Oryctolagus cuniculus: one gene and its partner. The protein of the gene in region 1 purifies or fractionates together with the protein of each later gene. This does not show direct contact. Links are inferred from orthologs where the notes say so. Each region holds a gene or a part of one and is shown on either strand. Other genes may lie near its edges.

The links.
Region 2: the proteins of TOPBP1 (region 1) and CDC45 purify together in Homo sapiens (affinity purification with western blotting; 3 studies listed by BioGRID and IntAct, with this or other methods). This does not show direct contact. The link is inferred for Oryctolagus cuniculus from reciprocal best matches to the Homo sapiens genes TOPBP1 and CDC45.

Annotation. Positions count from the first base shown.
Region 1 is NC_091435.1:175,328,020-175,331,809, reverse strand, and holds part of TOPBP1 (DNA topoisomerase 2-binding protein 1), read left to right. Parts: intron 1-1,552; coding exon 1,553-1,687; intron 1,688-3,771; coding exon 3,772-3,790. UniProt on the Homo sapiens protein: Scaffold protein that acts as a key protein-protein adapter in DNA replication and DNA repair. Composed of multiple BRCT domains, which specifically recognize and bind phosphorylated proteins, bringing proteins together into functional combinations.
Region 2 is NC_091452.1:27,305,430-27,310,012, forward strand, and holds the start of CDC45 (cell division control protein 45 homolog), read left to right. Parts: upstream 1-1,571; 5' UTR 1,572-1,847; coding exon 1,848-1,898; intron 1,899-2,046; coding exon 2,047-2,106; intron 2,107-2,623; coding exon 2,624-2,716; intron 2,717-4,583. Other genes in the region: UFD1 (ubiquitin recognition factor in ER-associated degradation protein 1), read right to left, coding at 121-253, 970-972. UniProt on the Homo sapiens protein: Required for initiation of chromosomal DNA replication. Core component of CDC45-MCM-GINS (CMG) helicase, the molecular machine that unwinds template DNA during replication, and around which the replisome is built.

The DNA.
Region 1 (3,790 bases):
TTTAAAAAATTTATTTTCATTCTATCTGAAAGGCAGAGAGAGCTCTTCCATCTACTGGTTCACTCCCCAAATACCTGCAACTGCCTGAGCTGGACCAGTTAAAAACCAGGAGCCCAGAAGCCAAATTAGGTCTCCAGCATGGGTGGCAGCAACACAAGTATTTGAGCCATCATTTGGCACCTCTGAGGGTACACACTGCAGGAAGGTGAATCAGAAACAGAGTAGCTGAGATGAGACTTGAACCAGACACTGATCCGGAATGTGGCTGTCCCAGGTGGTACTTAACCACTTAACCACATGTTTGCCTCTATGGTTATGTTTTAATTGCATTTTTCACGAACTTTTTGAAGTCCACTTATATATGTGTGTGTGAGCGTGTGAGATCGCTGTTGCTTTTCTTCATGACATAGTGTAAGTGGATAGAGGAAGGATATTTTAGAAAGCGTGATCTGAGGAAGTGTGTGTAAGTAAATCTGAAGTGGGGGTGAAGACCTGGGAGAACAGTATTCCCTACTATGGGAACAAGAAGAGCAAACCTTCTAAGTGAAGTCATGTTTAGCTTGTTCCAGGCTTAGCAAGAAAGAAGAAGTTACTGTAATGAAGCAAGCAAAGATGAGGTAGGAGGAAAGGACAAGGAGCCAGATTTTATGGTCTTATAGGCCATAGTGAGAAATGTGGATTTTATTTGGACTATAACAGGAAGCCATTAAAGAACTCTGAGCATACTTACATGACCATGGTATTTTAAAAAAATTAATAGTTGCTGTGTACAGACTCATAGAATGGCAGATGCCCTAAACAGTACTCTGGCCTCAGAATCAGCTCTTAAGGCATTCAGATCTGGCTAAAAAGCCCATAAGAGTTTCTGAGGCGCGGAAAGCCAAGACACTGTGACAAAAATGACGTAAATGAAAGATCTCTGTGAGTGAGATCCCAGCGGAAAGAATGGGCCATCAAAGAAGGAGGAACCTTTCTCTGAAGGGAGGAGAGAACTTCCACTTTGAATATGGCCTTGTCTAAATAAGATCGGAGTTGGTAAACTCAACAGGCTTCCATGGCCTTGGCAGCTCATGACAAGAGCCTCAGATGATTACTGACGTCATAAATAAGAGTGTCAGTTGTTAAATCAACAACAGGAGTCACTGTGCACCTGCTCCCCATGTAGGATTTCTGTCCTTAATGTGTTGTACTGTGTGAATTAACGGTAAAACTACCACTCAAACAGTATGTAAAACTACAACTCAAACAGTACTCTATACTTTGTGTGTCTGTGTGGGTGCAGTCTGTTGAAATCTTTATTAGTATATACCAAGTTGATCTTCTGTATATAAAGATAATTGAAAATGAAAAAAGATAGTTGCTGTGTAGAGAATAGATTTAGGGCAAGGGAAGAGGGAGACCCTTTGAAGGCTTCTGTGGAGATCTAAGTGAGAGAGAATGGTAGCTTTCAATAGAGAAAAGGCTGGATTGGTGGTGAATGTTGAAGAGAGTTGAGAAGACTTAAATACAGAGAAATAATTTTAGGTATGTTCTTACTTTGTTTTTCTTTCAGTCAATGAAAGAATTTCAATCAGAAGAATATCTTCAGGTTATTACAGAGGAAGAGGCGTTGAAGATAAAAGAGAATGATAGATCACTTTATATCTGTGACCCTTTCAGTGGTATTGTCTTTGATCACCTTAAAAAGGTTTGTTAACTTACAGTGTGTTCTTAGTCTGTTTTTTGGTTTACTTTTGCTTCAGGGGATATAAATTTACTGATCATTAAGTATTATGCAAATTATAAATACATTGGGATTCTTTTGGTTTAGGGAGAACAGAGTAAAATTTTTTAAAGATAATATATTACAGTAGGATTTTATTGTATGTAGTTTCTGTATTTTAGGGTGTTATAACTCTACTTTGTGTAAGTGAACCTGTAATAATGAAGCATTTTAGTGATAGAGTTGACTGTACATACATTCAGTTTGATTGCAGGATATTTCAGAGAGAAATAATAAGGGAAAGACCTCAACATAGTGCATGGTAACTTAAGTCTTTCCTGTTGTACATGGAGCTTTAGTGTCTGTATCTTGGATAGGGTCTGAGAAATTGTATCCTAGAAGGAAACATTTTGGAGATCAGTATTATAGATATACCAGTAAGCCATCTTTTTGTTGATTCCAGAGTCTACTGACTCATTTTTTCTTTCTTTCTTTCTTTTTTTTGGGGGACAGGCAGATTTAGACAGTGAGAGAGAGACAGAGAGAAAGGTCTTCCTTCCGTTGGTTCACCCCCCCCAAAATGGCCGCTACGGCAATGCGCCGATCCAAAGCCAGGAGCCAGATGCTTCCTCCTGGTCTCCCATGCGGGTGCAGGGCCCAAGCACTTGGGCCATCCTCCACTGCCCTCCCGGGCCACAGCAGAGAGCTGGACTGGAAGAGGAGCAACCGGGACAGAATCTGGTGCCCCAACCGGGACTAGACCCCGGTGTGCCGGCGCCACAGGTGGAGGATTAGCCTAGAGAGCTGTGGCGCTGGCCTCATTTTTTCTTAATATCTGGAAAAGAGAGAAGCATTGAAATAAAAGTAAACTGGCTTTAATTTCATCCAGGTTACAAAGAAGTGATTCTTGGTGTAAGAAGAAGAAAACATAGAAGTAAAGATAGATGCAATATCTGTGAAGTCTGCATCTACCTTGCCAAGGTTATTGGTGATCTTACTTCCTCCTGGAAATATAATTGCTTGCCAGAATTAATAGCATCTAAAAAGTCATTGTCTTCTAGCTGATCAAAAAGATAGTGATAATCTTTATCTGTCAATATTTAAATAAGTCATGCAGTGGTAACTGGCAGCTGTGGGCTTTTTAGTCTGACTTAAGTATGTTGATGTTGAGCGTCACCTTTTGTAACTATCAATGAAAATGAGAAGTCATATTTTTGTGTTCAACCTGCAATATCTTAGAAGTCCCTGTAGATCTTTCTTGGAAAAACATTGAGATGCAGTATTTAAAGCTCAAATGTGGAAATTGCCTCTGATTTTTGGTGATGTGATGGATGTTTTGGGGGGGTTACTTTTGTAGAGTCCTTTTTTTTTTTTTTTTTTTTTTTTTTTTTTTTTTTTTTTTTTATTTGGAAAGAGTTACAGAGAGAAAGGGAGAAACCACGAGAGAGAGCATCCATCTGCTCGTTCACTCCCCAGATAGCCACAACAGCCAGCTCTGGGCTAGGCTGAAGCCAGGAGCTTCATCCTGGTCTCCCATGTTTGTGGCAGAGGCCCAAACACTTGGGCCGTCTTCCACTGCTTTTTCCAGGACATTAGCAGGGTGCAGGATCACAAGTGGAACAATTGGTACACCAACCAGTGCCCAGATGGGATGCCAGTGTCACAGGCAGTAGTGTTCCCCACTACACCACAACTCTGGCTCCAGCGTAAGGGTCTTCTGCTTTCAAACTGTTTCATTGGTGGGGTGCTCTGTACATGAGAGTATTTCCTGATTGATATAGCGTAAGTACTTCATTAAGATCATGTTGATTCCAGAGATGAAAGTTTTGAGGCGTTCTAGGAGCTTATTTGATAGTGTAAATTGTTTCATTTGCTTTTGGGTGTGCATGTGTAATGTACAGTGTGTCTGAGAAATTATAATGATTGTTACTTTTTTCTTAGAATAATTGTTCCATTTTTCTGCAGTACTCATCAACTCAGTAAAGAATTGGTAAACAGTACAAAGTGTAATTTTGTAAGACTGGTGGTCTTTTCCTTGCTAATTTTCCAAAATACTTTCTTTTTTGTAGCTTGGTTGCAGAATTGTTG
Region 2 (4,583 bases), on another chromosome or scaffold:
ACGTCTGGGCCAAGCGAGCTTCACCGTGACAGCTCTGCTTCCCGCTCGCAGGGTAGGGACGGCAGGAGACTCAAGGGCAGGAGAGGTGAACTATATATTCAAAAGAGAAACAGCACATACTCTTCCCTCCTTTCTCCACATCTGACCTGTCATTAGGCCCGGCTAGCATGGACACGGAGAAGCAGCGGTACTGCGTGGAAAAGCGGTTCTGGAAGACGCGGGGGATCGGGTGGTCGAACATGTTGAAGGAGAACTAGGAGGAAAGAGGAGCGGGTGTTAGGACGGGACGACGGGGACATTGCTTCAGCAGGGGGGGACATATGTCAACGACAACGCACCACGCTGAAATCCTGGTGGACTAAGGTGCTGTCTCTCCCTCTCTCTGTCTGCAACCCTGCCTCTTAAATAATAAATTTTAAAAATCTTGAAAACCCGGGGCTGGCGCCGTGGCTCACTAGGCTAATCCTCCGCCTGCAGTGCCGGCATCCCATCTGGGCTCTGGTTTGAGTCCCAGCTGCTCCACTTCCGACCCAGCTCCCTGCTGTGGCCTGGGAGAGCAGTGGAAGATGGCCCAAGTCCTTGGGCCCCTGCACCTGCGTGGGAGACCTGGTAAAAGCTCTGACTCCTGGCTTCCGGTCAGCTCAGGTGTGGCCGTTGCGGCCAATTGGGGAGTGAACCAGCGGATGGAATCCCTCTCTCTCTGCCTCTCTGTGGCTCTGTCTTTCAAATAAATCAATACATCTTTAATAAATAAAAAAAAATCTAGGAGATGAGGTCATGTCCAAGCGGGCCAGAATGCGGGCCGTGACCGCGACACAGGTGGTTCGTGGTCACGGGTCCGGCTGGTGACCCGAGCGCCCCAGGCTGCGGCCCGGGTGACTCGGCATCTCCGCGCCCGCCCCGTCCCTTCCCCGCCAGGCCCCGGTTCCGGGCCTGGCCTCGGGCTCCAGGTACCGGCCGCTTGCTTACCATGATGAACACCGCTTTGCAGGCGCCGCTGCTCCCACACCACCTTACGATGGAAGCCCGCCGACGGCTCAGCAGACAGTAGCCGCCGCCGCCACCTCCCTGAAGCCGGGACGCCCTGGGAGGCCTACCGGAAGCGCCGGACCTGAGACCCGGAGCGGGGGACGTACCGAGGCCTGGCGTCTGCTGCCAACGGGGAAAAGCCAGGGAAAAGCGCTGGGAGGTTAAACTTCCTACAAGTCAATAGTAAAATGCCCTTTACTGGCGTGTGTCTTCTCCTACAGACAGTTTTAAAGCTTTCAAAAGGAAGTTTTGACAGGACTCCCCTCCAGACGAATTTGGTAGGGCCCATTCTGCTTACTGACTACACTACCCAGAATGCAGCTAGATTTCAGCCATGCTTGATTCGGGCGGAAGTAACCCACACGTCCGCCTTCAATCTGAATTCATATCCTACTGTAAACATAACTGCCGGCCTCCGGGATGTGTAACTGAAGTTCACTCATGACTAGAGGTAAATTTTTCCTGGAGTTCCCAGTGGGAGACGGTAGGCTTCTCTGCCCACAGTAAAGATGTCCACTAAGCGTCGGGGTTTCTGGGTAAATGGAGGGGACCACTGTGTTTGCCTCAGAGCCCTGCTTCAGAGTTGACTGCCGCTTTGTGGGGTTGGGAGAGTGGGCCGGCCTTCTCCAGTCGTGAACTCGGAGCGCTAGTGCCCGCCCCCAATACTGACCAATCAGAACGAAGAAGAGCTGGGAACCAGATAGCAATTGGTTGAAGGATTTGAGCCAATCGGAGGAGCCGCGATTTGGCGGGAGTCTTGACTGAAGGCGGGGCTCTCCGCAGCTCACCCGAGCTCAGGGTGCCCAGCGGCCGTGGCTATGTTTGTGTCCGACTTTCGCAGGGAGTTCTATGAGCTGGTCCAGAGCCAGGTGACTTTCAGTCCGGGTCTCAGCCGGGGCCTCGTCAGGGGAGGAAGGGCTGGGAAGGAGCGGGTCGTGGGTGGCCGGGAGGGTGGGGGGTGGCGGGGTCCGATCCCCGCGCTCAGCCTGCCTTCTCCCTCCTCCCAACCCCCGGCAGAGGGTCCTTCTCTTCGTAGCCTCGGACGTGGACGCCCTGTGCGCTTGCAAGATCCTCCAGGTGAGCCCCGCGGACCCTGGGAGGGCGGGAGCCGGGGGTCGGAGAGGAGGGCGGCTCCGAGGGGTCCTTATTGTGGCAGTACCCTAGCAGATGGTTGCGTCTGGAAGACGCTGGAGCCTGCAGTGGCCTGAGGGCGTTGGTGGTGACGTCAGAGGGGCTGGGAGCGCAAGGGCCCCGGTCTCAGAGGGAAGATCCTTAGCTCAATATTCGAATATGGCGCGGTTGTCACTGAGCTTGGGTCAGCCCCTCTCAGGAGACCCAGAAGCAGGATCAACTTTTCTCCTCCAAGTTTTGACTTTGAAGAAACAAATTTTTTTTTTCCCGGAAATTCAACCCGGTTGCTAGAAAGCTCATACCCCCCCCCCCCATGGCTCCTCCCATTAAAGCTTTGCCTACCTGATGGCCACACCCTTGGTGTCTCAGCCCATCTAGTCTTGTGGCAGCGCGTTTGGAGGGAAACGGTGGCCATCCTGAGCGAGACAAGCTTTGAAAGCCCCCCTTTCCCCTCTCTCTGCAGGCCCTGTTCCAGTGCGATCACGTGCAGTACACGCTGGTCCCGGTCTCTGGGTGGCAAGAACTCGAAACTGCGTTCCTTGAGCACAAAGAGCAGGTAGGAAACAGACACGTCACAGTAATTAGGCACTGGTCGGGCAGAAATTTGATCGTAAGGGGCTTGCAGTTTTTTGCTTAAAGATTTATTTGAGTGGCAGAGTTACAGACAGAAAGAGGGAGAGACAGGGAGAAAGGTCTTCTGTCCACTGGTTCACTCCCCAAATGGCTGCAACGGCCAGAGCTGGCCCAGTCCAAAACCAGGAGCCAGGAGCTTCCTCCAGGTCTCCCACGCAGGTGCAGGGACCCAAGGACTTGGGCCATCTTGTACTGCTTTCCCAGGCACATTAGCAGAGAGCTGGATCAGAAGTGGAGCAGCCAGGACTTGAACCAGCACCCACATGGGATGCCGGCACCAAAGGCAGAGGATTAACCCACTACGCCACAGTGCCAGCCCAGGGGGGCTCGCAGTTTGGCAATGCAGTATAGTTGAGGGGGCTGGCATTGTGGCAAGGGGGGATGCCTACATCCCATATCAGAGTGCTGCTTCATACGGTAGCTGCATAGCTGCTCCACTTCCCATACACTTCCCTGCTAATGCACCTGGGAAACAGCAGGTGTTGGCCCAGGCGTTTGGGTCCCTGCCACCAAAGTGGAAGGTGGAGTTTCTCGCTCCTGGCTTTAGCCTGGGTTGAGGGCATTTGGGGAGTGAACCAGTGCATGGAAGATTTCTGTCTGCCCCTCCCTCTCTCTGTGTCGCTCTGCCTTTCAAATAAATAAATAAATCTTTTTTTTAAAGTCTTGTTAAAATTATGTTAGAGTACATTATTATCTTGTTACCCCTTCAAGACAATGGATCTCAGTTTCTAGCTTGAAATCCAGGCATGTGAGCGCTGGTTCGTGTCCCAGCTTTTCCACTTCCGATTCAACTCCCTGCTCATGGCCTGGGAAGAACAGTGGAAGATGGCCCAAGTGTTTGGATCCTTGCCATCCATATAGGAGGCCTGGATGAAGCTCCTGGCTCAGCACTGGCCATTGTGGCCATCTGGGGAGTGAACCAGTGGATGGAAGATCCCTCTTTCTCTCTGTCTCCCACCCCCACCCCCCGTAACTCTGACAGTAGCCAGTGCTGGAGCTAAAAGCTGGGAACTCCATTCCAAGTCTCCCCCTGCTGCATCCCAAGGTCTGCATTACCACGAAGCTGAAATTGGGAGCCAGAGCCGGAAATCAAACCCAGCTGCTCGATGTGGCTTGTAGACGTCTTAGCCATTAGGCGAGACTCCTGCTCGGTTCTCTCCAGAATTTAAAACAGTAGAAGCCAGCACCTCTCCTACTTCTGCATGGCGCCAAATGACAGAGGACCTTGTGGACTCCACGGGGAGGGATGGGGTGTGGAACTGGCTCCCGTTCATCCCTGCAACTCTCTTGGCAGAGATAAATCTTTGCCGGGAGTTCCTTGCCGCAACGGTCAGAGCTGCACCAATCGGAAACCAGGAGCCAAGTGCTTCTTCCTGGTCTCCCACACTGGTGTAGGAGCCCAAGGACTTGGGCCATCTTCCACTGCTTTCCCAGGTGCATTAGCAGGGAGCTGGATCGGAAGTGGAGTAGCCAGGACTCGAACCATCACCCCTGTGGGATGCTGGCACTGCAGGTGGCAGCTTTACCCGCTACGCACAAGCGCTGGCTGCTCATTGTCTTATTGACCCTGGCATGAGACTCACACTCACTGAGCCCGAGGCCCGCCTCCCCTGTTGTGATGGAAGCAGCACAGTGAACGTTAAATCACTTAGCACAAGCCGGTCAGGGCCATTTTGGGAGCCCCTGGCCGTCTGGAGCTTGCCACGTCTCGGGGCTCAGCATGTTCTCAGCAGGAGGACTCAGGCCTGGGGCGGGGAGGGGGAAGGGGCCTCCTCCGTGCAGTGACTTCG